Oryctolagus cuniculus: one gene and its partner. The protein of the gene in region 2 purifies or fractionates together with the protein of the main gene of each other region. This does not show direct contact. Links are inferred from orthologs where the notes say so. Each region holds a gene or a part of one and is shown on either strand. Other genes may lie near its edges. The genes, in order: AP3S1 and AP3B1.

The links.
Region 1: the proteins of AP3B1 (region 2) and AP3S1 fractionate together in Homo sapiens (co-fractionation; 5 studies listed by BioGRID and IntAct, counting the BioPlex papers as one, with this or other methods). This does not show direct contact. The link is inferred for Oryctolagus cuniculus from reciprocal best matches to the Homo sapiens genes AP3B1 and AP3S1.

What each region holds. Positions count from the first base shown.
Region 1 is NC_091437.1:6,070,020-6,085,108, reverse strand, and holds part of AP3S1 (AP-3 complex subunit sigma-1), read right to left. Parts: intron 11,177-15,089; coding exon 11,085-11,176; intron 7,156-11,084; coding exon 7,044-7,155; intron 1-7,043. UniProt on the Homo sapiens protein: Part of the AP-3 complex, an adaptor-related complex which is not clathrin-associated. The complex is associated with the Golgi region as well as more peripheral structures.
Region 2 is NC_091445.1:2,316,131-2,331,319, forward strand, and holds the start of AP3B1 (AP-3 complex subunit beta-1), read right to left. Parts: upstream 8,250-15,189; 5' UTR 8,120-8,249; coding exon 7,992-8,119; intron 7,304-7,991; exon of another isoform or gene 7,285-7,303; intron 1-7,284. UniProt on the Homo sapiens protein: Subunit of non-clathrin- and clathrin-associated adaptor protein complex 3 (AP-3) that plays a role in protein sorting in the late-Golgi/trans-Golgi network (TGN) and/or endosomes.

The DNA of each region.
Region 1 (15,089 bases), on a different chromosome or scaffold from region 2:
AGTCAAGATCACACCAAAACAGCACACACTAGGAAAACCAAGATCACCTCCCCAACCCTTGCAAACTTACAAGGAATTTAGGAAAGAAACAAAAGCAAACAGAAGTTCAGTTGGGTGACATACTGGTATAAATACCATATTGCATTTTCAAATTATACCTTCTACCGAATTTATGACAGAAATTCAAACCTAAGACAATACATGCACATCTCAGAAACACTGAGTCTGCAAGAAAATGTTTGCTTTTCAATTACACTTAAACACTTAGAACATTAAAATTACGCACATTCAGTAGTCACATGTTAATTTTTCTCTAAACAATATGAAAGATCAAAAGGTTTTGATTTAAATTCTGTTGGTTTACAATTTTCCACTTTTGTTTTTTACGCTAAAGTTGTCTTTCTCAAAACTAGAGGCTGAATAAATCAAGAAGATGAGTTCTGAACTACGCTCTGAATAGCAATGCGATGAAACAGAAGCAAAACGTGGGCACTTTCTTGCTTGTTCACTTCACCAGTGCTGACGCTGAGTCCCTCCTAGATGGCTGTTCAAGCAGCTGTGCAAGGAGGGAGAAGAGGCCAACCACACAATTTCCACACAGTCAGGGTGGTGACAGACAAGTAACGGACCTGGATTTTTTTTTTTTGGGGGGGGGGGTGGGTGCCACCACAGATCAGCATGCGGTCACTACGCAAAGACTGCTTAAAAAAAAAACAACCCTCCAGCCTACTTTATTAATGGAAAAATGATACAATTCTCCCCAAATCCCCTATTCTGCATCTTACCATGACATTAAATGTTTGGACACTAATGGCTAAAACAGTTCCCAAAACACACAAGACATGGTTTGCGCTTTCCACAGCACATGACAGTTAAGTCCCTCAGCACGATGTGGGGCGTGGATTCTAACAACTGTCCTGATGTAACAACCCTTACCAGCACCAAGAAACAATCACAGGTTATGACAGAGGTAAAACACTGCTGATTTGCCCCAGGAAAATTCACCTTTGTTTTAGCTTCCTTCAGACTGCATGTGAAACGCAGTACTTTCTCTGGGTTCCTCCTAACTAGCAGCTGGCCCAGCTGAATAAGGCTGGGGCTGCGGAACGCAGCATGCGCGTCTGCTGCGCTCCTTGCTGAAGATAAGCCAGGGAAACACGAGCACAGGCCCTCATGAAAACCCTTCTTCTCTAAAAATACCAAGTGCCTGTAAAATAGAAATGAACCAGCTACTCCCCTGTGGCATAAACCGAGACACAGAATCAGGATCAAACTTAGAAGGTAACGCAACACACACTATCAATCCATGTAAGAAAAACAGAGCTTCTCTTTGCTAGACAAGCCTTTGGGAAAACAAGACAGTTTCACAGTTCTTCTCTAGCAGTCTCCAGGAGGATCTACCTCAAACTCAAATTTCTTTGAAGTCTTAGAGCTTTAAATATGACAAATCTGTATTTGACCCTATAATTATATTTGAACATACCTGTTTATTGTGAAAGTGTCATTTCCTCACCACCACCAATGTTCAAAGAAACCCGAACACCTGCGGAGGACGGAGCCACGGTGACAGCTGGTGCAGGGCCAAGCCGGGCTCCTCCTCACCAGCTTCAGCACCGGGCGTGGAGCGAGGGGCACTGGAGCAGCTCCATTTGCTCCCCAGCCTCTGTTTCTCTTTTGTTATTAGACATTTTCAGCATCTAAAGCCTCAGTCTGTTCCTTCTCATATTAGACACTCACTCAAAATGTATTACTTTTCTGCTTGCTAGCTTCTCGTTACTCTGAACACTAACTGGAACTCAAACCGTGTGTCCTCCTGATTTCAAAAACATTAAAACATTCTCGACAAAGAAAACTTCCTTTTCACACGCAGCTTACAGCTCACCTATACCACATTCACTTTTTTGCACATTCCAGAAAGAAAACATCTCAGTGTATCCCCTCATGATAATCTTAATCAATACCGTCTGTGGTAACTAATTTTTGCTGAGTATTTTTTACCTTTCAATAGAAATACTGTATATATCAAGTAGAAAAACTCTAGGTTTCTATAATTATAGATTTAATTCTCAAACACACCAATGTGAGCAGCACTCAGATTAAAAGAAACAAAATCTACGACTACATTTTATTTTCCTAGCGAATTCTTCTCCCAATTAACCTTTGAGCTTTATTGTCAGTTACTTTACATAGAGTGCCGAACACGAGGCATTAAACCATTCATTCAACAATTATCTAATGAGAACTTGTTATCTGTAAGGTGTCAGACTATACACTAGGATAAATCAGCAAAAGAAACAAAAATCCTGCACCTCATAGATCCAACATTCTTATAAGGGCAAATGATAATACATAAGATGAACTAAATTAACTACATAGTATATTAGATGGTGATAAGTGCTATGGAGGAAATACTAGGGTGAAAGAGTTAGAAAATATCCAAGAGAAGGAGCATTTTCAAGGCAAGGTGGAGAACACTGTTGGATGGACGAACGCTGCAGGTGCAGGATCAGCATGGACCAAGGCTCTGAGGCACACGTGTGCTGGGTATACCCGAGGAACGGCAAGGAGGCTAAGCAAAGGGCACAAGAGAAGATAAGTAACGGGTGTGGCCAACGACAGTCAAGACCGCATGGGGCTTCTCAGGGATCTTTTGTAAGGAATTCTGCTTTTACTCTGAGTGAAAACGGAAGCCACTCAAGAGTTCAGAACGGAAAAATGTAAGATGCGGCACATTTTAACAGCATCACTCCAGCCACTGCACTGAGACAGACCAAAGAGAAAAAATACAGCACAAGGAGAGACCAGCCAAGAAATGGCTGCAGTAACCAGGCCAAGAGTTGACGGTGGCCATGAACAGGGCAGCAGCAACAGGAGAGAGGGTACAAAAGTGGTTAGAAGGGGCTGGTGCTGTGGCATAGTGGGTAAAGCTGCCGTCTACAGTGCCAGCATCCCGTATGGACGCCGGTTTGAGAGCTGGCTACTCCACTTCCATTCCAGCTCTCTGCTAACGCGCCTGGGAAAAGAAGCAAAAGATGGCTCAAGAGCTTGGCCCCTGCACCTACATGGGAGACCCGGAAGAAGCTCCTGGCTCCTGGCTTGGCTATGGCCCAGTTCCGGCCATTGCGACCATTTGGAGAGTGAACAAAGGATGGAAGGTCTCTCTCTGTTCCTCCCCCCCCCCCCCCATAACTCTGCCTTTCAAATAAATGAATAAATCCTTAAAAAAAAGTGGTCAGATGCCAAATATCCAACAGGAAGTGCTGAGGCAGCAGACGTGGTGGGCAGAGAACGAGAGGCAAGGTCACATAGCAGGCACCAGCAGGTTCCACCGCAGAAGTGAAGCTGTCTTTAGCCGACGTGGGAGGCACAGGTCTTCGCTCAGGACACATTAAGTTCTAGGTCTGTATCAGACACCCAAGTGGAGACGCCCACGAATCAATGGGGTGACCTGGTGAGGAGCTAAGGGGAAAGGTCTGAGCTGAGGACTCCAGTCTGCATCTTTAGTGTACAGATGACACTTGGGTCAGAGCACGGAGATGAATGGAGTCAAAAACAAGGCAGCTGAGCGAGGATGGAACCCGGAGGCGTGATCATTTACAGGTAGGACAGATCAGCGGGAAAAATGCAGTCACTAAAGAGATGGGACAGAAGCCAGGCAGGGAAGTTCTAGAAGCCAAGTGAAGACGGCAGAGAGGAGAGGTCAACAATCCTTATCAAACACAGGAGGCTGACAGGACCCTGGACTCATGAAGAGAAGGGCGGAAAGCCTGCCTGGAATGGACTGGGGAGAGAACACCAGAACAAAGTTTCAGATAGCTCTACACGTTCTACAAAAGCGTTCTGTAAAGGAAGGGAGAGAAACGAGGCGTGGCTGCAGAGGGAAGCACAGACGGGATTTTTTTTTTAAGGTGGGAAACTACTGTAGGCTGCTTGGAATGATCTAGAAGACAGGAAAAAAAATGATGACACAAAAGAAAGAAGGGCTGCTGCAGCAATGAGGAAGCAGAAACGAACGTGTGAGCGCACAGGCGGCCTGAGCTAGGAGCACGTGAGTGCACCCTCAGAGCACAGATGCACCCATGGGGGCCGTGCACAGTCCCCAGATCTCAGAGACACAGATGCACCCATGGGGGCCGTGCAAAGTCCCCAGATCTCAGAGACACAGATGCACCCATGGGGGCCGTTAGACAGTCTCTCCAGATCTCAGAGCACAAATGCACCCATGGGGGCCGTGCAAAGTCTCTCCAGATCTCAGAGACACGGATGCACCCATGGGGGCCATGCAGTCTCCAGATCTCAGAGACATGGATGCACCCATGGGGGCCGTGCAAAGTCCCCAGACCTCAGAGACACAGATGCACCCATGGGGGCCGTGCAAAGTCCCCAGATCTCAGAGACACAGATGCACCCATGGGGGCCGTGCAAAGTCTCTCCAGATCTCAGGGCACAGATGCACCCATGGGGGCCGTGGACAGTCTCTCCAGATTGATTTGTTTCTCCAGGAAGCAAGCAAGGTGCTAAGTGCTAAAGGACTGAGACAATGTATGCATAAGTCATCTAGGCAGATGGAAAGTACATGGACCAGGGAAATACGACTTCCAGGTACCATTAAGGACCGGCTAAGGTAGAGATCATGAATTTAAAGTGAAAGCAGCAAGTATGGTGACAGTTTCTTCCACTGGTATCTTCGTATGTGCCGGCACAGGCAAGGAGATAAGCGTATACAAGGTCACAATCATGAATCACAAGTGACGATGGCATTTAAGCCGGAAAAGCAAAGTCAGACATCAGGAAAGACAAGACATTCACTTGGAAACTGTGGATCCCAACAGGTCCAAAAATCTGTTGGGAGTAATAGAAAGAATAATACAAAGAATAATAATAGTAATAGTAATAATAATAATAATAGTAATAGAAAGTAATAATAGTAATAGAGAGAATAATTGTCACTCCCCCTCTTCGCGGAGGAAAGACACAGGACCCTGCGCTGTTCTTTTGTCTGCTCGGCCCTCCCCGGGTTTGCTGCTGGTTCTTCCCGGGTTGGCTACCGACCCTTCCACCTCCGTGGAGGGGCAGGCCCCCCTGCCACTTTCCCCACTTCCGCAGGGGAGCGGCACACCGCCGGCCGGCTCTCTCGGGGGCTGCACAGGTGCTTCTCAGGTGTTCCCTGGTGCATGTTGTCTCTCTCCTCCTTTATAGTCCTCTTCCACCAATCCCAACTCTGCTACCCACACGCCGAGTACGCTGCTCTCCTCCAATCAGGAGCAGGATCAGCTCCTGCAGGTCATCACTCAAGTTGGCGAGAGGCAGCTGTGTAGTTGTTACTCCCTTCTCAGCGCCATATTGTGGGAGAGCAGATGCATAGAATAAGTCTTAATTCCAGTAACAGTCTAGTCCGAGTTGCTCCCCACAAATAATACAAAAAGAAGTGGTACACAAAGGAAGGAAGGTGTGAAGATAAGAATAGGGAGGCAACTCAGTTGGATTAAAAGCACGGTGTGGAAATGAGCAGTGAGAAGGGGTAGAGAGCAAAACTCACAGGAGAGGAGATGCAGGCCTAAAAACGTCAGGATAGAGAGAATTACATACATCGACGATGAAATCACCAAGAATTCCAACAGGGCAGTGAATGTCGGTAAACTAAGAGCCAAAGTCCAGTGGGCGACAATTCTCCACGGGTGGGGTATTCCTGCACAGACTGTGAGCAGAGGCATGGTGGTCTCTGCTCTGGGCTCTCCTTGCAAGCACACTATGGATAGGCTTACTTTCCCCCAGGAAGCAAAGACAGTGTACTGTAATGTAAATTTGAAATGTTATCTCAAAAACCAGTAAAGTGAAGAAAGAAAGGGAGAGGGAGGAGAGTAGGAGAGACAGAGTGGGAGGGGTGAGGGAGGAGGGGAATAGCATTATAATCCTAGAATTGCATCTGCAAACTACACTGAATCTGCCAAAAACTACAAATTTAAAAAAATTAAAATCTTAAAAAAAAAAAAAAAGAAACAGTGCTAATTATAGAAGAGTTCAATTCTCTAAGGTCAGGGTTCCTCACTCATAACTCAACCCACAGTGTGTGCCCCTCTTCAAATGCTTGTACTTTGGCTCATGTGCTATTTTTTTATTTACTGTGGCTAATGCTTACGTTGCTAATCATAAAGGTCAAGTTTTCGGCTTCCAAGCTGGATAAGATTTCCTGACGAAACCGCCAAAGGATCGAAGGTAGAGAGAGAACCACAAGCAGATGGGTAGGAGTTAGAGCTGACAACATGAGACAAAATGTGGAGATGTTTCAGGAGACAACCCGTTCTGGAAAAACCAGTGAAAACCAAAAAGAACAAGAGGGCAAAGAGCTACTTCTTGAGAGTGCCGGAAGTGGTGTAACAGAGAAGGCAGGATTTAACGTGGATCAAAGTGGAGCAGCATGGAAGAGGCTAAGGACAAGGAGGAGTCTGCTCATCACAGCCCTGGAGTTCCAGGACGTCACGAAAGGTTTTCAGGAAACACGAAGAAAGAGAAGGGAACAGATGGAATTAGTCATAACTGGTCTAAATCAGATTAAATTCGTCTACTTTTTTTTTTTTTGACAGAGTTAGACAGTGAGAGAGACAGAGAGAAAAAGGTCTCTCTCCCATTGGTTCACCCCCCAAATGGCTGCTACGGCCGGCACTGCGCCGATCCGAAGCCAGGAGCCAGGAGCTTCATCCAGGTCTCCCATGCGAGTGCAGGGCCCAAGCACTTGGGCCATCCTCCACTGCCCTCCCGGGCCACAGCAGAGAGCTGGACTGGAAGAGGGGCAACCGGGACTAGACTCCGGCGCCCATATGGGGTGCCGTCGCCACAGGAGGAGGATTAACCAAGTGAGCCACAGCGCCGGCCCCCATCTACTTGTTCTACATCCCCTGTCCCTCTTTGATCCACCCCGTATCTACTGTGGACACTTTCTTACCAAACAAAACATCACTTTAGAAAATTTAGAAAATGTAAGTTTTTAAAAATATAAATGCCAAACTGTTATTTAAGACAGTAAGAGGCAAATGTTAACTTACTTGAATTAGATCTAAAATGCCAAGTTCACTTTCTGAAGAATCCACACAGAAGACAAAATATAACGTTGCATAATGTCTATAAATCAGTTTGTTGTCAGATCCTCCAATTAATCTAAATGACAAAACAAAACAAGTGAAATGTTATAGGGAACAAAACACAGAACATTTTCATTAGCTCAAGCAAACTGACAATGTGTTTAAAAATCTTTTATTAACCAAACATAACATTTAGTGGCAAAGCATTCAAGAGAACTTACTTCTGAGACTAAGCAAATTAAGACAGCTATTTTCTTTAGAGACAAAGTAAAAAGCTTAATTTTAGTTCACTCATTCGTTAAACTATTCAGTGATTAATTCTATGTGTCAAGCACTGACGATGGATACAGAGCAACTAACAAGAAAATTGTCAGTGGAAGGTGCCACACAGAGAACCCAAGCAGGGCGAGGCCTCCAGAGGGGCTGGCCTCCTCAGCCGGGAGGTGAGGGAGATGAGGAGAGTGCCGTGGGCCTCAGGGATTCAGAGAAGAGCATGTCAGCGCCAGGTGCAACTAACAAAAGGGCACTGCAGCGAGAAGGAGTAGAAGAAAAGGCAGGCCAGCAGACAAGGAGAGATTAGTGACAGTGAGGTCAGAAGAAGCAGAGATTAGGACAGAGGGCGTCTGCAAGTGCTTACTAGATTTAACTCCACAGGTCACAGTAAGTTACACAGCTTAAGACTGATTATGAACTAGGAAAAAAAAAGAATGAAAGTTCTTAAATTTGGGACAGATTTACCATCTAGGTCGCCTACAAAAACATATGCTGTTTTGAGTACAAATGCAAGAGAATTAAGTTATTACTCAGTTCTTCCATCAAATACTTTTATTTATATTGACTGGAATTTAAATATAGTTAAGCTTTCACACTTTTTAAGTTTATGAGCTTGCCTTCTCAAAAGACCCCTACACACTAACAATTTAGAAAGTAACGTTAAATGTTGTCAAAGCTAATCAAACATTCATATGGAATTAGACATCATTTCTCATTTGAGTCAAGTTAACCCCTGAGCTCCCACCTTCTCTGTGTATGCACTACATCTGTGTCCCCTAACAAGAAACCAAAGTTCCTACTATGTTAGATACTTTTTTGGGAAAGGTATTTAACTTAAAAGTATACACATGCACTTCAAAGATTCTGAAATCATGTTTATGGGCTATGATTGCAACTGTTTCTCTAAAGAGATACAAAGAGTACAGACAGCGCTTTCACAAACAGCAATTCAGCAACGACCTTGAGTTTTTCCTCTAAAAGGAGGAAACCTGGCCTCTGAAAGCTGTTCCAACACAGCCATTAACATTAACAGAAGACAGCAAAAATACTACCACAGCAAGGGTACCTTTTCCCTAACACAGACTCTAGGATGCTGCAAGCATGGATAAAGTAATTGGGTCCCTGGAGTGAATTCCTGGATCCTAGCTTCAGCCCAGCCCAGCCTAGCCCCAGCCACTGTAAGTCTTTGAGGAGAAAACCAGTGGATCTTTTGTCTCTCAAATAAAATTTTAAAAAGTATTTAAGAATTTTTATCTTGAAATTATAGTATAACACTACCCCAAACTCTTGTACGGAATGTAAGTCACCATATAAAACCATAAACTTCAGTCCAAATAGTTTATCTTAGTGGAGAAAACTGAATTTCAAGAATTAAAGTGACTGGACCAGGGACACAAACTTGATGGTGATAACACTGAGACTGACTAAGATGCAATATCTATTTTCTACTTTTCAAAAGGTTGGAGGGCAGGTGTTTGCCTGCGATGGAATCCTGCCTTGCTACTGATCCAGTTTCCTGATAATGTGCATACCCGGGAGGCAACAGATAAGGACCCACGTTCTTGGGTTCCTGCCCTCCAAGTACCAAGAGGGAGTTCCTGGCTTCCAGCTTTGGCCTGGCCAGGCGGGTGAGGGTACCCAGGGCACTGGGTCAGCAGACAGAGGAACTCTCTCTCCTTGCTTTCTTCCTCTCCCTCAGTCACTCTGCCTTTCAAAAAACTAAAAAAAAAAAACTAAAAAAAATAAAATAAAATAAAAAGTTGGGAAAGAATAATCATAACTCCAGGCCCTGATTTCTGGTTTAAACAGTACTCTAGCTAGCTCCATCTTGCTTTTCTACTGCATGCAATATACTGTGCTAGGAGACACATTTCCTGGGAGGGAAGAAATTAAGAGGCTGGGATGACAAGAAGTGATAGTAAAGGCAAACACTATTAAACCCGAACAGACACTTAAGAGAATTAGGTACAAGTGAAATTCAAAGTCAGAAGCAGGTACATTTGTCTCGACTATTAAAACAGAAGCCTGCATTGGTAACAAAATTTATACCTATTTTAAGTGTGAACCATACATTTAAGTGCAGTAGGATAGAACTTAAGAAACACAACGAACTACACATGATAAAAAGTAACTTAAAGTCAGGTAAAAATGGATTCCCTGCTATCTGACCTAGTTTTCATAACATGCACCATACACAAAATACAGAAAAATACAAATTTCTCTAATCTGTGACTATTTACAAATCTCAGCTGAAGTTTATTTTTAAATATCAATAAGGAACTATCTTATTAAGTATATTAATTATATAAAAGAAGAGGCAACATTTATGAAAACATTTAGAATTAAACTACTTTCATGGAATCCATTAATTCAGAAGTATTTACTTATATATTTTGCAAGCTAATTATAAGTAATGGAAATGTTAATAGAAAAAATCTTTTAGCTGAATTCTCATCTGTACATAGTGCAAAGACAGAAACGTTAGAAGAATAAACTTCAGGGCCAGCGCCAAGGCTCACTAGGCTAATCCTCCACCTGCAGAGCCGGCACACTGGGTTCTAGTCCCGGTTGGGGCGCTGGTTCTGTCCCGGTTGCTCCTCTTCCAGGCCAGCTCTCTGCTGTGGACCGGGAAGGCAGTGGAGGATGGCCCAAGTGTTTGGGCCCTGCACCCCATGGGAGACCAGGAGAAGCACCTGGCTCCTGCCATCGGATCGGCGCAGCACGCCAGCCGTAGCGGCCATTTGGGGGGTGAACCAACGGAAGGAAGACCTTTCTCTCTGTCTCTCTCTCTTTCACTGTCTAACTCTGCCTGTCAAAAATAAATAAATAAACCTCAGTTTTACTTGTAATAATAAAAGATACAATCCAAATTTTTATGGACATTTACCCTAAGGAATACTCTTTAGTCTTAAAAAAGAGTAAGGGCTGCCTTAGACGTACTCACAGGCAGAACTTGTTAAAACATTACACAGGGGCAGGCACTTGGCACCACGGTTAAAGCAATGCTTGGGACACCTGTGTCCTGCATCAGAGCGTGTGGTGACAGCTCCAGCTCTGCTCCGAGTTCCAGCTGCCTGCTAGCGCACACCATGGAGGGCAGCAGTGGAACTATCAGGAGCTCAAGTACCTGGGTTCCTGTCACTCATGCTGGGAGACTTAGACAGAATTCCTGGCTCCTGGCTTTGGCCTAGGCCAGCTCTGGCTGCTGCAGGCATTTGGGGAGTGAATCAGAAGATGGGAGATCTCTCTCCCTGCCTTTCAAAAAATAAAATGATTATTTTTACAAATCTAAGTGTTAAGATGAAGTAAACCAAACAACAACAAGTGAGCATACACAGTGTGATCTCAGAAGTAAAAAGGTTACACTTCCAAATGCTGGTCGGTGCAAAATCTGTTTTCTGGAAGGAAATGTAAAACCAGGACGAAGAACAAAGGCTGGAAGAGGGAGACCCTTATTGAATATTTTACTCTTCCCTGGAACATTTGAATGTTTCCAATATGAACATATTAATTTTAAATAAAATGCCCTTATAAGATTTTTAAAAAGAAAAACAGACTGCACAGCTTCAAAAGAAATTCTTTAAGTTAGATTAATAGCTAACATGGGTAGCAATTATCTCACCTAATTCAACTAATCAAAACTAGAAAACGTTTGCACTGAACTGCTGTAACAGTACACACTTTAATTATCCAGTCCAAAAATCAGAAGCGTCTATGAAATGCTTTACTTACAATCCTCCTTCCAGGAAATTACAGACGTTCTCATCCCTCTTAGAGACCAAGTGGAAGGTCTCCCTGATGATCTGCTGCTGTGTGTCTTCACTCTGAGGGAGAACAAGTCACATACATTAGGACTGAGTGTACAGGTTTAACAGAACTTTAACAATTTTAAAAATAACAGGGATTAATCTCTGGGAAATCCATCTAAGTGAGTGAGGGGTCCTCAGAGAACCAACTTAAAACCCAACACTGTTAATGAAAAAAGGGGGATATGCTTTGACGTTTACCACTATGATAAAAATAACTGAGTTCTAAATTGCAAAAACCAACAAGGAAAAAAAACACATATATTACATTTACTAGAAAAAGGGAAACTATATATTAACTAGTCAAAGCCCATTGTTTCACAACACAGTAAACTGAAACAGAGGCAGAGTTAGAAATAATTCATGTAGCTAATCTATATTTGAATGGAAGAATGATCACAAAGTGTAGCGTATCCAACTGAACATAAGCATTATTAAACACAGACTGAAGTACGAGGCCATCCATCTTACCCATCTTTATACAAGCACAACCTAAACCAAGAACTGGTTCAATAAGTATTTACTAGAACAACCAAACAATTCATATTCCAGCAAAAAAGGTCAACTTCACAAACAATGCAACAGAAAGCTGAGCAAACTCTTCACCAGAGGGGAAACATCATGGCCTGTAAACAAAGGAAGAGTCGCTGAATCTCATCAGCAGGAACAACGAGGAGACGGCTCCACCACACCGGACTGGTCAGTGGCAATATCAGCTGTGGACAAAGGTGTGGCACCAAGCACACCCACCCCCTAGCACTGTGCGGGCCAGTGGTCACCATCACTTGGGGAAAAACTTTATTAACCAGCACTTTCGCTCCTAAACCATACGAAACCAGGATTTCTGAAGGTCAACAACTACTGAGTACCGGCAATGACACACACACAGAGTAAGCTGTGCACCCTCAGACCAGCGAGACACGGGAGAATGTCCACAGAAGTACTGCTGCGACAGCAAGCTGCAAACACCCAAGACAGCCCGCAGTCACAGAACGGATGTTGTGATACACTCACACAGGGAAGCCTTCTAAGCTAATTACACCCTTAAACGTGTACAATTCTCAAAAACCTGATGTGGAGAAAAGGAACAACTGCATTGTGCATATCCAAAAAGGATAATAACCAGAAAAAAATTTAAAATAATAATAACTGGAAAAATAATACCCAGTAAAAATTTAATCAAGTATGTATAGGATTTCTATAATGAAAAACTAGAAAACACTTTGAAAGAAATTAAAAAGGATGCCAAATTCATTTCATAAGGGCAAGTGTAACATACCAAACTAGACAAGGTAGTACCAGAAATTAAAATTATAGGCCAATGTCACCAATGAAGAGATACAATTTTTAGAATTTATTTATTTGAAAAGCAGGTGAAAGATAGACACACACACACACACACACAGACAAAGCGAAGGATGACTTATTACTGGTTGGCCTCCCCAATGCCCACAAGAGCCAGAACCGGGCCAGGCTGAAGCTAGGAATTCTTTTTATTTTTTTTTTATTTTTTTTTTTTTTTATTTATTTTTTTTTTTTTGACAGGCAGAGTGGACAGTGAGAGAGAGAGACAGAGAGAAAGGTCTTCCTTTGCCGTTGGTTCACCCTCCAATGGCTGCCGCGGCCGGCGCGCTGCGGCCGGCGCACCGCGCTGATCCGATGGCAGGAGCCAGGAGCCAGGTGCTTTTCCTGGTCTCCCATGGGGTGCAGGGCCCAAGCACCTGGGCCATCCTCCACTGCACTCCCTGGCCACAGCAGAGGGCTGGCCTGGAAGAGGGGCAACCGGGACAGAATCCGGCGCCCCGACCGGGACTAGAACCCGGTGTGCCGGCGCCGCTAGGCGGAGGATTAGCCTATTGAGCCGCGGCGCCGGCCCTGAAGCTAGGAATTCAATATGGATGCAGGTACCCAATTTCTTGGTTACCACCTGCTGTCTCCAGGGTGTGCATTAACTGTAAGCTAGAAAGGACAGCAATGTCAGGACTCAAACCCAGGCACGTGGATATAGGATGTGGGAATCCCACATAGAGGTTTAACCACTGTGCCAAACTCCCACTCCCAGAATTTATTTTTCAAAAAGTTAACACATCATGACTGAAGTGAGTTGATTCTAGTAATGTCACACTGTTTTAATATTTAAAAACTGGCCGGCACCGCGGCCCAATAGGCTAATCCTCCGCCTGTGGGGCCAGCACACTGGGTTCTAGTCCCGGTTGGGGCGCCGGACTCTGTCCCGGTTGCTCCTCTTCCAGTCCAGCTCTCTACTGTGGCCTGGGAAGGCAGTGGAGGATGGCCCAAGTGCTTGGGCCCTGCACCCGCATGGGAGACCAGGAGGAAGCACCTGGCTCCCGGCTTTGGATCAGCGCAGCGCCGGCCGAAGCGGCCATTTGGGGAGTGAAGCAACGGAAGGAAGACCTTTCTCTCTGTCTCTCTCTCTCTCTCACTGTCTAACTCTGCCTGTCAAAAAAAAAAAAAAATTTAAAAAAGCTCAAAAAACATGCAAAAAAACAATAAAACTGTTTAGCGCCAAAAATCAAGTAGTGAAACAAGAACAAGAGAATGATTTAAAGACTTCAGACGGGGAGCTGTGTCACTGGGTGTAGCATCCGAGCAGCTGGCGCCGGCCCTGACTCCAGCTTTCTAATGCACCTCCTGGGAGGCAGTGGTGATGGCTCACGCGACTGCAATGCTGCCCCTCCAGGTTGGGGACCTGAACAGCTTCGCTGCTCTCAGCTCTGGCTCAGCCCACGCCACCACAAGCATCTGGAAGTCACCAGCTTTGAGGATGCTAGCGCTTCTCAGGTCTCTCTAGTCCACTTTAAAAATAACCTCGGACGGTGGTTTTACCTGAGCGAAGGAGGGGCAGAACAGAAAGGAGGATACAGAGAGACTTCAAAGGCCATTAGCAGTTTTCTTCATAAGGGGAAGTGGACACAGCAGTTAGTCAGTATTTCCTGTAGCTTAGGAGAACCCACTCAGCATTTCCTAACAACACTGCTAGGGAAGGGGGACACAAAGACAGCTGCCTCTGCCTTCCTACGTGTGCCCCACGTCCCCGCCCACCTCCCCCTCTCAGATGCTGTCCTTGGTTATTATCTTCCTGGTGGTTTCCTGCTTTAACCTCCTGCCTGAAAGAAACGGACACTCTTCTGAGCGGCTCAAGATTTCCACTTTTAAATAGTCATCTCCACCAGTATTCTACGCAATTATATAAAAATGCTCATAATAAAGACTAAAAACATTCCATTTTTCCTAAAACTCATTGTCACTGTATTTCTAATCTCAGTTAACGGCAGCAGCATCCATCACAGAAAACTCTTGATGACTCCTTTTCTTTTACTTCCCTCACTGATTCAGTCGCCATTAATTCTATGTCAAGAAGAACAAAGCTGGATTCAAAAACCACAGTCTCAATTCAGATTTTCATTCTTAATCTTACTTAAAATACTAGAACCACCAGCAAAATACTGCCACTGTCACCTGACTCCCTGTTCCCCACTGTCCAGCACATGTCAGCAGAATTCCTTAAGAACACGGAGTATTTGTCACCCGCCTTCTTAAATACCTCCAGATTCCATCTGACCTAACATACACGCTCCCTACCATGCCATAAGACAGCCTCCAAAACCCAATCCAGACCTCCCTTTCCCTGACAAACACTGCTCAGCCACTCTGACCTGGGAGAATACTCACGCCCACCCCTCTCACCCCCTCAGTCGCTACTCCCCCCGAAACACCCTCCGTCCTCCCTTCCTCAGCAACCACCTTCGAACACACAGCTCGAGTAGCCTCACTGTCAAAACATTTCTGACCCAGTCAGGAAACACCGGGGCCTTCTACTGCCTCAGGACTGTTTCCACTACCATTACACACTTACAACAATATGTTCCACATTTCCTTGTTAAGCACCTGAATTCTAAGCTTTGTATTG
Region 2 (15,189 bases):
TTTTTTTTTTTTTTTTGACAGGCAAAGTGGACAGTGAGAGAGAGAGACAGAGAGAAAGGTCTTCCTTTGCTGTTGGTTCACCCTCCAATGGCTGCCGCGGCTGGCGCGCTGTGGCCGGCACACCACGCTGATCCAAAGGCAGGAGCCAGGTGCTTCTCCTGGTCTCCCATGGGGTGCAGGGCCTAAGTACTTGGGCCATCCTCCACTGCACTCCCGGGCCACAGCAGAGAGCTGGCCTGGAAGAGGGGCAACTGGGACAGAATCCGGCGCCCCGACTGGGACTAGAACCCGGTGTGCCGGCGCCGCAAGGCGGAGGATTAGTCTAGTGAGCCCCGGCGCCAGCCCTTAACAAGCTCTTAAAGATCTTTTCCTAACCCTGCTATTTCAAACTCTAAACTAACCTGCATCCCAATTCCCTAGCCTCCTCGACTCTACCCACTCTTTCTCCATAACATTCCTTGTCACAACATGATCGCATATTGAGTTGTTCATCGCCTGTCTTCCTCTCACTAGAATATAAACTCCACGAGAGCAATCTGATGCTTACTCCCTAATATCAAGAAAAATATAAATTATTTCCATATTTTTTAAAAATTACTGGAACATATTTAGCATACAACTGAAGAGTTACTGACTGCCTTCCAAACGCCCATTCTGCTTAAAACTCTCCAGTAGAGGCCGGCGCCGCGGCTCACTAGGCTAATCCTCCGCCTAGCGGCGCCGGCACACTGGGTTCTAGTCCCGGTCAGGGCGCCGGATTCTGTCCCGGTTGCCCCTCTTCCAGGCCAGCTCTCTGCTGTGGCCAGGGAGTGCAGTGGAGGATGGCCCAAGTGCTTGGGCCCTGCACCCCATGGGAGACCAGGAAAAGCACCTGGCTCCTGGCTCCTGCCATCGGATCAGCGCGGTGCGCCAGCCACAGCGCGCCGGCCGTGGCGGCCATTGGAGGGTGAACCAACGGCAAAAGGAAGAGCTTTCTCTCTGTCTCTCTCTCTCACTGTCCACTCTGCCTGTCAAAAAAAAAAAAAAAAAAAAAAACTCAAAGTTTTTTACAACGATTTACAAGGCCCTACACAATCGGGCTTTACTCCATCCCCACTCTACTACTTACCTGTCTGCCATCATACTCTGTTATTTCCTCCCCTCCCTGTACTTCCACATTTTTTAAAAAGATTTATTTATTTATGTGAAAGGCAGAGTTGAAGACAGAGAGGGAGAGACAAAGCAAGAGATCTTATATCCGCTGGTTCACTCCCCAAACAGCTGCAGAGGCTAGGACTAGGCCACACTGAAGCCAGGAACCTGGAATTCCATCAAGGTCTCACGTGGGTACAAGGGCCCAAGGACTTGAGCCATGTTCAGCTCCTTCCTAGGTGCAACACCAGGAAGCTAGATCAGAAGTCAAAATGGAGCTCATATGGGATACTGGCATCACAGGCAGCAGCTTAACCAACTGCACCACACACCAATCCGTTTTTCCACATTCTTAACCAAGGTATTGAGAAACTTGGAGAAAATCTATTATGACCGTGAAGCTGGGAGATTCAGCTCTGCAACTCTGACTTTGAAACAAGCCCACTCTCAACTAAAGATGAAGAGGGGGCCAGTGCTGTAACACAGCAGGTTAAACCTCCGTCTGCAGCGTCATCATCTAATACGGGCACCGGTTCAAGTTCTGACTACTCCACTTCCTATGCAGCTCCCTGCTGATGCACCTGGGGAAGCAGCAGAGATGGCCCAAGTGCTTGGGCCCCCGCACCCACCTGAGACCCAGAAGAAGCTCTGGGCTCCTTGTTTTGGCCTGGCCCAGCCCCAGGCCACTGCAGCTACTTGGGGAGTGAACCAGCAGATGAAAGATCTCTATCTCTCTCTCCCCCGCCCCCAAATCTGCCCTTCAATAAACAAACAATAAATCTTAAAAAAAAAAAAAAAAAAGACTAAGGATGGTGACCTTTGAAGCAGGACAGTTTCTGTCAGCAAACAAAAATGATCTCACTGACTAGAAACTGTTCACTGTAGATCTACAAAACCTTTCCTGCTGATACGCTGAGGAAGTCTCCCCTAAACACAGAAAGCAGTGTTACTCATAAAAGCATGAAATACAGGAGAATCACTTCCTTCTCCACTGTTCTACTTTCTTCTCTTTACTTCACATTTTAAATTTGGACCTCAGCCAATTTGTTTTTGTCAGCAGTTCATTTTAAACACAAATGCAATGCTGTCCAATTATTTCACTACAATATATTCATCGTTCTGTAAGCAGTGAAAAAGAACATTTCAACCAACTGCTGTCTGCCTTTTTTGTTTAATCATTCAGTGTTAGCAACTGCTAAATCCTGAATGTTTTTTAAAACTAACACATCTCAGGCTGGCGCTGCAGCTCACTAGGCTAATCCTCCGCCTTGCGGTGCCGGCACACCGGGTTCTAGTCCCGGTCGGGGCGCCGGATTCTGTCCCGGTTGCCCACTTCCAGTCCAGCTCTCTGCTGTGGCCTGGGAAAGCAGAAGATGGCCCAAGTGCTTGGGCCCTGCACCCCATGGGAGACCAGGAAAAGCACCTGGCTCCTAGCTCCTGCCATCGGATCAGCGCGGTGCGCCGGCCGCAGCGGCCATTGGAGGGTGAACCAACGGCAAAGGAAGACCTTTCTCTCTGTCTCTCTCTCACTGTCCACCCTGCCTGTCAAAAAAAAAAAAAAAAAAAAAACTAACACATCTCGGGACTGGCACTACAGCGCAGCAGGTAAACCCACCACTTGTGACTCCAGCATCCTATGAGTGCCGGTTCATGTACCAGATGCTCCTCTTCCGATCCAACTCCCTGCTAATGTGCCTAGGAAAGCAGCAGAGAATGACGAAGTGCTTGGGCCCTGCACCCCATGGGAGACCCAGAAGAAGTACCTGGCTCCTGACTTCGGGTTTGCCCAGCTCTGGCCATTGAGGCCATTTGGGGAGTGAACCAGCAGACTGAAGATCAATATCTCTGTCTCTGTAATTCAGCCTTTCAAATGAGTAATATTTTTTTTAAATTGTCTTACATTTGTGATTTAATCATAAGGTTTGAAATTTAATTATTTCAGATTTCTAAATTTCAGTGATTTCAAAAAATTACAAATCCTTTATCAAGAAATGAGTATTTACTTAGCTGAGTATTTAAGATAAAATGCATAAACCAGAAATGACCTTCCTCCAAGAAGAAATGCAAGGAAAGTAAATAAAATGGAACACTTCTACTATTTGATGGAAAGTAGGACACTGCTTACAGGCAGTATTTCATCAAATTTTTGCTCAATGTAATGAAATCTTATTTGAAGCACATGGCAAGAAGTACATTATACGTGGAACCTTACTGCACAGGAAATGGCAGTCCTTAACTTTTGAGTATCCGGGCCTTTGAAACTAACAGTCCTATTTACATGAAGACAAAACAGCTACAGATGCTCCTCAACTTATGATGGGGTTATACCCCAGTAAACTCGTGGGAAGTGGAAAATATCACAGCACATTAAATACACCCAACTAACCAAACATCACAGCTTAGCTTAGCTGCATCTACCTTAAATATGCCCAGAGCACGTACAGTGGCCTACAGTAAATCTAATACAACACCTATTTTATAAAGAAGTATTCAAGACCTCACAATTTATTGAATACTCTACTCAAAGTGAGAAACAAGTTGTAGGGGTTGCACACACCTAAAGCCGAGAATTATAAAATCATATAAATGTGCTGGGACCACTTCAGTTCATCTAGGTAGGGACATACTGCAGGTACCAACGCTCCACTTCCTCTCCTGTTAACAACCCTCTTGTAACAAACGCAGCACTACTCAGTGAAAGATAATGAAACACTGAAATTGCCCACCTGTAAAGTGCTCTTTGTACATGACAAAGTGGAATCCAACTTACATCTATGGCAAGCAAATATACTGTGCAGACCTAGATCTAGTGAACATAAACTTGCAGCCACTTGGGGAGTGAACCAGCAGATTAAAGATTTCTCTCTATATATAACTCTGCCTTTCAAATAAATAAATAAATCTTTAAAAACTGAAAAAACCACCAGAAATATAATGAAGACCCTAATTAAACCACACCCCACAGCAGAGCGCGGGGGTTCAATCTCTGGCTCCCGACTCGGCTTTCCGCTGCGCTGACCCTAAGCAGCAGCAGTGACGGTCTGGTGTTTGGGATTCTGTCACTCAAGTGGGAGACCTGAACTGTGGTCCTGGCTGCCACACTGAGCCCTGGCCCAGCCCCAGCTGTTATACATCAGTGATTAAGAACTTCCTTTCTCTGTCTCTCCCCTTCAATGAATTTTTTAATTAGTATTAATAAAAACAAAAAAATCACAAAAAACATACTGATACACAATGACTCTTTGAGATATTTCAAAAACAATGGTAAAGGGTGGACTTTAGGCCTAGTGGTTAAGATGCCTGTCGGAACACCCCGTCCCACGTGATAGTATCCGGGTTCACATCATGGCTCCACTCCAAATTCCAGTTTCCTGCTGACGTGCATCCTGAGAGGCAGCAGGTGATAGCTGGGCCCTTGCCGTCCACACAGGAGGGCTGGACTGAGTTCCCGGCTCCTGGTTCCGGCCTGGCACGGTCTCAGCAGAGGGCACTTGGCCAGTGAAGCAGCAGATGGGATGGCAGCAGCTCTCTGTTTCTCTCTACTCCATCTCTGCCTCTGAAACAATTCTCTTTTTAATGTTTAAAAATAACAATGTTAGTATCAATACTTGCAATGTTTTTAAGATTTTATTTATTTATTTGAGAGGCAGAACCACAGAGAGAGGAAGAGACAGAGAAAGGTCCTCCACCCGCTGGTTCACTCCCCAAATGGCTGCAAAGGCCAGAGCCGAAGCCAGGAGCCTCCTCGGGGTCTCGTAACTGGGTGCAGGGCCACAAGCACTCAGGCCATCTTCCACTGTTCGCCCAGGCCACAAGCACACATGTGAAGAGGAGTAGCCAGGACACAAACCGGCACCCACATGGGAAGCCAGCATCACAGGCAGAGGCCTAGCCCTGCTATTCCATGGCGCTAGCCCCTCAATATTTATAAATTAATAACATCTGGAACTGGTCCAGATGTCATTGATTCTATTTTTAGTAAGTTATATATGTAAATATAATTTATTTTAGTAAATTATATTTTTAAAAAGATTTATTTATTTACTTGAAAGGCAGAGTTACAGAGAGGGAAAGACAGAGAGATCTTCTATCTGCTGGTTCACTCCCCAGATGGCCACAACAGCTGGAGCTGGGCCAATCTGAAGCCAGTAGCTTCTTCTGGGTCTCCTACCTGGGTGACAAGGACCCAAGCACTTGGGCCATCTTCGCTGCTTTTCCAGGAACATTAGCAGGGAACTGGACCGGAAGTGGAGCAGCCGGGACACAAACCAGTGCCCATATGAGATGCTGATGCCACACCAAGCTATACCCACTACTCCAGAGCACTGGCCCCAGTAAATTATATTTTAAGACTATCACTCTACATGGGTTGATCTCAGTCAACTTCACTTCAACATACTTGCTTCAAAGATAGAAAAAGTGGTGGAGATAAGAGTTGCTTAACTGTACCGACCACAGATACTAGTTATCTTCCAATGTGTGCCACTGAGAAACACTATTAAAGGCTAAAGCAGTAATGTGATCTAATTTTCATGGCTGATATTGTTAAGTTGACAGTAAATAAAATTCAACTTTAAAAGAAAAACAAATTTGGTTTTACCACTGCAATGCAAAGACATTGATTTAACATACCCACTGCAGGAAAGCCCAGAGTCCTCTGTCCAAAGAGGTGAATCTAAACAAATGCAAAGTACACTCCACCTTTGGCAGAGTAAAATGCCACCTTTCTATGTATTTCAAGGGACACTACAAAGAAGCCACTGGCTGCTAACCTCTGAATTAAATCCAAGGGCTCTCTTGCACACTCCTTCTACTTCCCTGCACTGTTCAAGTCCCCACACAGTCCACCACTGCCTCCTCTAACTTTCCCCTTAGCTTCCTTCTTCAAAACAACAAGCTTCCTCTGGTTTCCTACCTCCCTGAGCTCAGTCTTTTCCTTCTTCTTCCATTCACATCTCACATGCAGTGTTCCTTAGGATTTTGTCTAACCTGCCTTCTCCTCTAACAAGAAAAGTTCTCCCAGGGCCACTGCATCCATTCCCAAGTTTATACATTATCTGCTAATCTAAATGTCGATCTCCAAATCTCTCTCAACACCATTTTCTTTTGCAATTCTCCTTTTTTCTACACACTCTGCACTCTCCATTCCCTCCACGTGCCAAACACCTGCCCAAAATGTCATCAACTCTCCTCAACAGTGCTGGTTAACATTCTGGATCAGAAATTACTTTCAAGTACACCGTCAGACCAGGCAACCATCACACCTGGGCCAGAAATGTGGAAACCAAAGTTTGAAAAGAACAAGCAACTTGCACAAGGAAATACTAGCACAAGCATAAAACAATAACTCACATACAGGTCTTCTGACACTAGCCCTGGGGCCTTTTCCAATACTCCACAATGCTCTCAAAAGTAAAGATCTCTACGGCCGGCGCCGCGGCTCACTAGGCTAATCCTCCACCTGCAGCACCGGCACACTGGGTTCTAGTCCCGGTCGGGGTGCCGGATTCTGTCCCGGTTGCCCCTCTTCCAGGCCAGCTCTCTGCTGTGGCCCGGGAGTGCAGTGGAGGATGGCCCAAGTGCTGATGCATTCAGGAGCGCGGAGGAAGGCGGCCCGAGCAGCTGGGCCCTGCCAGCCACGTGAGAGACCTCGGTGAAGCTCCTGGCTCTGCTTCAGACTGCCCCGCGAGGCAGCTGCAACCAGGGAACAAGCAGAGAGGAGCTATTTCCCCATCTCTCTCTCCTCCCTCCGTCTCTCTCTGTCCTCCCTCCTCCCTGTAACTCTTTCAGAATAAAATAAACCTTACCAAAAAAAAAAAAAAAAAACCTGCCATCTCTAAGTGCAGAATGACACCCTGGGAGGCGGCCAACGGTCAAGCACTCGGGTCCCTGCGACCCCTACGTGGCAGACCTGCACTGAGCGCTCAGCTCCCGGCTTCGGCCTGCCCAGGCCTGGCTGCTGAGGGCATGGGGGGAGTGAGCCGGCAGACGGAAGACCTCTCCCCAAGCTCGCTGGCTCCCCGCGCCCTTCCAAGACAATTAAACATAAACTTTTACTCAGTGCACGGCAGGAAAAACGAACCCTGTTACTCCTCCCAGCGTCTCTGACTCGGGGTGGGGTCCACCTGAGGGGGTCCGGACCCCTGAACTCACTTTGCACGTTACGCCGCGGCGGCGGCCCGCAGCGCCTCCTCGCCCCGGCGAGGGGTCCGGCACAGGTCGCAGGCGCAGCCCCGCCGGGCCCGACCGAGCCCAGGGCGCGCCCCCCGCCGCAGCGGAGTTTAACCCGCGCCAGAAGGGCGCCCCGGCGGCCCGCACCGAGCTCAGCCGCGCTCCGGCGCCCCGCAACCGCCCCGCGCCCCGTACCCCCGCCTGCCCCGCACCCCCGCGCCCCGCACCCCGCACCCACGCCTGCCCCGCACCCACGCGACCCCACCTGCCCCGCACCCCCGCACCCCCGCGCCCCGCAACCGCCCCGCGCCCCGCACCCCCGCGCCCCGCACCCACGCCTGCCCCGCACCCCCGCGCCCCGCACCCCCGCCTGCCCCGCACCCCCGCGCCCCGCCTGCCCCGCACCCACGCGCCCCCGCCTGCCCCGCACCCCCGCGCCCCGCAACCGCCCCGCGCCCCGCACCCCCGCGCCCCGCACCCCCGCGCCCCGCACCCACGCCTGCCCCGCACCCCCGCACGCCGCACCCCCGCACCCCCGCGCCCCGCACCCCGCACCCCCGCGCCCCGCACCCACGCCTGCCCCGCACCCCCGCACCCCCGCACCCCGCACCCCCGCGCCCCGCACCCCCGCGCCCCCGCACCCCGCGTCCCGCACCCACGCCTGCCCCGCACCCCCGCCTGCCCCTCACTTCTTCAAGTCGCTGCTGAAGAGGCCGAAGGCGCCGGAGGGGGACATGGTCGCGGCCGCCTCCTGCCCCAGCTCCGCCGTCTCTCCCGCTCCCGCCTGCTCATTGTAAGCAAGACTGTTGCTCGCCATGGCCGCGGGCCGGGCGGCCGACGCCTCGGGGCCGCGGGGGTCGCGCGAGGGGCTCCGGCCGGCAGGACGCGGACCGCGGCTCCCCGAGCGCGGCGGGCTGCGGGCGCTTCCGGGCTCGTCACGGCTGCCGGCGGCCGCGCATGCGCAGAGCGGGCGCGCGGCGGATTCCGGGCGCCGGCTGCGGGGCGGGGCGCAGGCTGAGGGGCGGGGCGCAGGCTGTGGGGCGGGGCGCAGGCTGCGGGGCGGGCCGGGGGCGGGGCGCAGGCTGCGGGGCGGGGCGCAGGCTGTGGGGCGGGGCGCAGGCTGCGGGGCGGGCCGGGGGCGGGGCGCAGGCTGCGGGGCGGGCCGGCTGGGCCCGGTGGCCGCGAGGTCCGAGGTCCTAGTTCCTGGATCCCGGGTTCTGCGGGCTCAGCTACGACCATTGGGGCCATCTTGGGAGTGAACCAGCAGGTGGAGGGTCTGTCTCTCTCTCTCTCTCTCTCTCTCTCTCTCCCTCCCTCCCTCCCTCCCCCTTTTGGGTCTCCTCGAGGGTGAAGGGGCGCAAACACTTAGGCCACCCTCTGCTGCTTTCCCAGGCACATTAGCAGGGAGCGCGATGGGAAGTGGAGCAGCCGGGACTCGAACCAGTGCCCTTAGGGGATGCCGGCATTGCAGACGGTGGCTTAACCTACGCCACAGCACCGGCCCCACCTTTTCTCCTTTTCTAGCAGAGTATAGGTTATAAAAATCAACTCAAAACATTGCAGGAAACCTGAATGTGTTGCAGAACAAGAACACGTTGCGACCCTAGTTGGAGGAGTAGGAATAGACCCTCCAGACCTGTGTCCGTTTGCCCCACACACAGAAAGCCAGTCGCCGACACGGGTGAGTGGAAGAAGGAGGTCGCTATCTGCAATGTGCAGAGCGTGGAGACGCCAGACAGCCGCAGCCGAATTCCCGGGCTCCCCGCGAGGTCAACGGGGACGTTTCTCATAGACTGAGGCTGAGGGGTGCGTGTTCAGCCCCGTCCAGGCTCCTGGCCGGCCGTGACCTTCCCTGATGCTGGCTTTTCCGGGAATGTTTAGGGCGGCTGAGTGGGCCTCCGTGAGTCTGGGGACTACATGAAGGTGGTAGTCACTCCAGTCCCGGCCTGAATTCCTCTGAAGAGACCTTGTGAGAGGGTGTGGATACTGATATTGATCGTGTGACATCAGTTACTGGAGACTTCTCCTGGACCAGTTGCACCACTGCCTGGATTCCCTGAGTTCCTTTAGCCATGCTAAGGCTGGAGGCTGGGTCCTGGTGATTTCTTGCCTGTTTTAGGGACGCTTGAATAGCAGTTCCATTTCAGTGGAAAACACTGCAGAACAAACTCCCACCAGAAGTGGACGCGTGGCTTCAGTAATGGGCTTCCTGGGATGCCTGTGTTGCATACTGGAGTGCGTGGGTTTGAGTCCCAGATTCCCGCTGGGTGCATCACCTGGGAGACAGCAGGATGGCTACAGCGGAGGCTCCCTGCCACCCACAGTGGAGGTCCGTATCAACTGCCTCACTGCTGGCTTTGATCTGGCCCAGCCCTGAGGGTTGCAGACATTGGAGAAGTGGGGAGATATCTTTCTCTTCCTTTCAAATAAATAATAAAAATTATTATTTTTAAAACTCTACTGCTAAAAGGGCACTCAACCAAGGCGGTCTAATGGACCTATAAGGAGTTTCCTGTTTTTGTTACATTGAACTATTACTGGATTTTTGAAAAGGAAAAGACAAAACGCCTCCAAATTGATTTTGTAGGATTAGCATGCTCATACCTAAGCCTCACTTTTTTAAAATACAAAAATATACTAAGAGACTAAATACTAAACAAACACTAGATGAAAAGCAAGGGGCCAGTGCCGTGGTGTAGTAGGCTATCTAACTCTCCTTCTCTCACTCCACCTTTCAAATAAATTCATCTTTTTAAAAACATAATAAATATTGGAAATGTTGGGGCCAGTGCCGTGGCACAGTAGGTTAATCCTCCACCTGCTGCGTCAGCACCCCATATGGATGCCAGGTCTAGTCCCGGCTGCTCCACTTCCAGTCCAGCTCCCTGCTGATACGCCTGGGAAAGCAGCAGAGGATGGCCCAAGTCCTTGGGCTCCTGTACCTGCATGGGAGACTGGGAAAAAGCACCTGGCTCCTGGCTTCGGATCAGCGAGCTCCGGCTGTTACAACCATTTTGGGAGTGAACCAACGGAGGGAAGAGCTTTCTCTCCGTCTCTCCTTCTGTCTGTAAACTCTACCTTTCAAATAAATAAATAAAAATCTTTTTTAAAAAAAAAGAAAATGTATTTAATAATATTTCATCAGCTCTTCTAATTTAACGAAGTATCTAGTAACTGAGAAATAAGAGTAAATACATATATTCATGGTGTCCATGGAGGGGATTAGTTGAGACCCCCCCCCCACCAAAAGTTGTACACACTCATGTCCCTCATATAAAATGGTGTGTTTTTCACATATTACCCATGCACATCCTCTCTTATACTTTAAGTAACCTGTTGATTGCTTATATCACCTAATACAATGTAAACGTTATATAAATCATTGCTTTAATATGTGCTTTGGGAATAATGACAAAAAATTTATTTAATATTTTCAATCTGTATTGGCAGAATCTGAAGATACAGAAGCATAAGTATGGATGTCTTGTTATATTTTACCATTATTATGTATACATACATGGGTTTTTGTACATATTATGTTAAAAATACTTCCACAAAATATTCACAGTAAAACATACACCTTATCTCACAGAGAAACATGAAAAGCATTCCAACTAAAGTCAAAAAAGGACAAATATGCCTATTGCACAATTACCATTTAATACTGCTCCATAGATTCTAGCAATGCAATAAGAAAAGAAAAATGAAAGAGAAAATCAACCATGAGAAGAAGTTGATATTTATAGAGTGTATAATTGTCCCACCGGAAAATCTCAAAGAAAACTATTAGGCCTCTAAGTGGATTTAGCAGATTGCTACCCGGAAAATCTAACAGCTCTCCTACACACCCTAGCATCTATTAGAAATATAATCCTGGGCCGGCGCCGCGGCTCACTAGGCTATTCCTCTGCCTTGCGGCGCCAGCACACCGGGTTCTAGTCCCGGTCGGGGCGCCAGATTCTGTCCTGGTTGCCCCTCTTCCAGGCCAGCTCTCTGCTGTGGCCCGGGAGTGCAGTGGAGGATGGCCCAAGTGCTTGGGCCCTGCACCCCATGGGAGACCAGGAGAAGCACCTGGCTCCTGCCATCGGATCAGTGCGGTGCGCCGGCCGTAGCGGCCATTGGAGGGTGAACCAGCGGCAAAGGAAGACCTTTCTCTCTGTCTCTCTCTCCCACTGTCCACTCTGCCTGTCAAAAAAATAAATAAATAAAATAAAAATTAAAAAAAAGAAACATAATCCTAAAAGAGTCTTCTTCCACAGAAAAATAAATGCCTAAGACTTAACTTGAGAAAAATCTGTAACATTCTACCAAAAGGTAGGGATTAGGGAAAGACCTAAAAAATGATTCAGTGTTTCTGAAAAGAAACATTCAATGAATCTGTATGTTTACTGTTACTTTCTGTCGCTCCCCCTCTTCGTGGAGGAACGACACAGGACCCTGCGCTGTTCTTTCGTCTGCTCGGCCCTCCCCGGGTTTGCTGCTGGTTCTTCCCGGGTTGGCTACTATCCCTTCCACCTCCGTGGAAGGGCAGTTCCCCCTGGCCACATTCCCCACTTCCGCAGGGGAGCGGCACACCGCCGGCCGGTTCTCTCGGGGGCTGCACGGGTTCCCTTAGATGTTCCCCATAGATGTTCCCGATGCATGCCGTCTCTCTCCTCCTTTATAGTCCTCCTCCGCCAATCCCAACTCGGCTGCCCACACGCCGAGTACGCTGCTCTCCTCCAATCAGGAGCAAGTCCTACAGTTTATCAGTTGAACTGGAGGCAGCTGTGCGGAAGCTGTTTACTTCTCTCCCAGCGCCATATTGTGGGAGAGCAGATGCATAGAATAAGTCCTAATTTGAGTAACTTAGTCTAGTCCGGATTGCTCCCCACAGATCCCCCTTTCTTTTTATTTTTTAGCGTTGATACGCGCCTGTCTTCGGTGTCCCGCGGCGCACACTCTGCTCTACTTGCTAGAGTTGCCACAGGCTCTTACAAGTCCTATCCATCAGGCAAACCGAATCCGGGTCCTCTCTTCGCCATGTTGTGAGGAGGTTTTTAGGCGCTGATGCGTGCCTGTGTTCGGTGCCCTGCAGCGCATGCTCTGCTCTGCTAGAACTGCCTGCAGGTGTTTACAAAACCTATCAGGCAAACCGAATCCAAGCCTTCTCATTGCCTTATTGTGGGGGAGACTTATTAGTGTTGGTTCGTGCCTATCTTCGGTGACCTGCAGCTCATACTCTGGTCGAGCTTTGCTGGCGCTTACCGCCTTAAATCAGGCAGACCGAATCCAAGCCTCCTAATTGTTGCATTGTGGGGAAGCTTTACTGATGTTAATTCGTGCCTGTCTTCGGTGACCTGCGGCTAGCCGCCCAGGTGCTCATCACCTCACTAATCAGGCAGACCGAATCCAAGCCTTCTAATTGGCATGTTGAGGGGAGGCCTTATTTCTCTCTATTTCTCTATCTCCGGGCATTCCTATTTCTCCCATTTTACTTCTATCTGCCAACATTCCCATTTCTCTCACTCCACTTCCAAACTTCTGTTTCTCTTATCCCCGCAGCTTCCCGCTGCCCGCCCCGAGGCTACTTCTCGGCGGCTTCCCAGCTGAGCTGCTTCAGCCCGCGCCTCTTTCATCTGCGCAGCTTCCCGGCTTTGCGCGGCTTGGCTTTGCGCGCTCCGCGGTCTCCACGCTTAACCCTTTCGCGTCTGAACCACGGCCTACGCCAGCCCCGTTCCCTATCTATTCACGCCCCGTGCTCTCTCTGCACGCGGTGGCTTCCACGAGTAACACAGCGTAGCTTGCGTCTCCACCACTAGCATTCAATCCAAGTTCCCCGGACTAGCCTGGCGAATTCAACCCAGCGTACGTCTCCGCCCCACGGTTTGGCTTCCCGTCCTTTGCTCCCCGGGCTAATCAGACGGATCCCAATCTGGCTTACGTCTCAGCTTCTGGTTTCAACTTTTCGCCCCCTATTCCCGGGCTAACTTGAGAATCCCAAAGTGGCTTTCGTGTCCGCCTTGGCCTGCCCCCCGCGGCTTCAATTTCCCTAACATTTTTCTCTACCCGGTATGTTTCCCCAAACTTTCCTCCAACAATATTCCTCCCTCATTTCTCCTGGCCTCTCCCCACAGTCTGCGTCCGAGTCTGTTTGTTCTAGCTTTCACTTTCGCTTTCGACCTTAGAGATTTCTCCCAGCTTCCCCCCGTAGTCCGTATCCGAGTCTATGCCTAGGCTTTCAATAGCTTCTTCCGGCTCCTTTTCGTCCGGCTTTTCCCTAGGCTGTTTGCTAGTCTCTCTCTCCGGTATTTTCCTGCTTCTTCCCGTTTCTTCCCTCCTAAGTTTCATATCCGTCCTAGGTTTCCTATCCGAGCTAGGTTTCCTATCCGAATCATTTCTTCCCTCCTAAGTTTCATATCCGTCCTAGGTTTCCTATCCGAGTCACGTTTCCTATCCGAGTCACGGCACCATTATGTCGCTCCCCCTCTTCGTGGAGGAACGACACAGGACCCTGCGCTGTTCTTTCGTCTGCTCGGCCCTCCCCGGGTTTGCTGCTGGTTCTTCCCGGGTTGGCTACTATCCCTTCCACCTCCGTGGAAGGGCAGTTCCCCCTGGCCACATTCCCCACTTCCGCAGGGGAGCGGCACACCGCCGGCCGGTTCTCTCGGGGGCTGCACGGGTTCCCTTAGATGTTCCCCATAGATGTTCCCGATGCATGCCGTCTCTCTCCTCCTTTATAGTCCTCCTCCGCCAATCCCAACTCGGCTGCCCACACGCCGAGTACGCTGCTCTCCTCCAATCAGGAGCAAGTCCTACAGTTTATCAGTTGAACTGGAGGCAGCTGTGCGGAAGCTGTTTACTTCTCTCCCAGCGCCATATTGTGGGAGAGCAGATGCATAGAATAAGTCCTAATTTGAGTAACTTAGTCTAGTCCGGATTGCTCCCCACAACTTTCAGTCAAAATCTCCGAGTTCATCTGGAAGAACAGAGGCAGCCAGTAACAGTGAAATTGGGGGAGGCGGAATGATGAAGGACTTACCCAGCCACGATTTGCATGTGCTATAGAGTTATTATAACGCATACGTTTGGTGTTAAAGCTGGATATTGTAGATTAAGCTTCCATTTGCAATGCCAGCATCCACTATCAGAGCACTGATTCGAGTCCCAGCTGCTCTGCTACTGATCCTGCTCCCTGCTAATGCACCTGGGAAAGCAGCAGAAGATGGCCCACATACTTGGGCTCCTATCACCCATGTGGGAGTCCCGTATGGAGTTCCAGGCTCCTGGCTTCAGCCTGGCCCAGGCTTGACTGTTGAGGTCATTTGTGAAGTGAACAAACTAGCAGGTGAAAAAATCTCTCTCTCTCCATCTTTCTCTCTGTCTTTGTCACTCTGCCTTTCAAATAAATAAAATCAATCTTAAAAACAAGTTTGGTGGCCAGCGCCGCGGCTCACTCAGCTAATCCTCCGTCTTGCTGCGCCGGCACACCGGGTTCTAGTCCCGGTCGGGACGCCGGATTCTGTCCCGGTTGCCCCTCTTCCAGGCCAGCTCTCTGCTGTGGCCCGGGAGTGTAGTGGAGGATGGCCCAAGTGCTTGGGCCCTGCAACCCATGGGAGACCAGGAGAAGCACCTGGCTCCTGCCTTCGGATCAGCGCAGCACGCCGGCTGCGGCAGCCATTGGAGGGTGAACCAACGGCAAAGGAAGACCTTTTTCTCTGTCTCTCTCTCTCTCTCACTGTCCACTCTGCCTGTCAAAAAAAAAAAAAAAAAAAACCACAAGTTTGGTATTGACTCATATAGGTGAAGAAATTCATTGGTGGAATGGACAGAAACAGATGCAGCTATATGTGGGTGTTGACAATCTGACAAAGTTGTCATTTCCAATGAGTTAGGAAACAATGTATC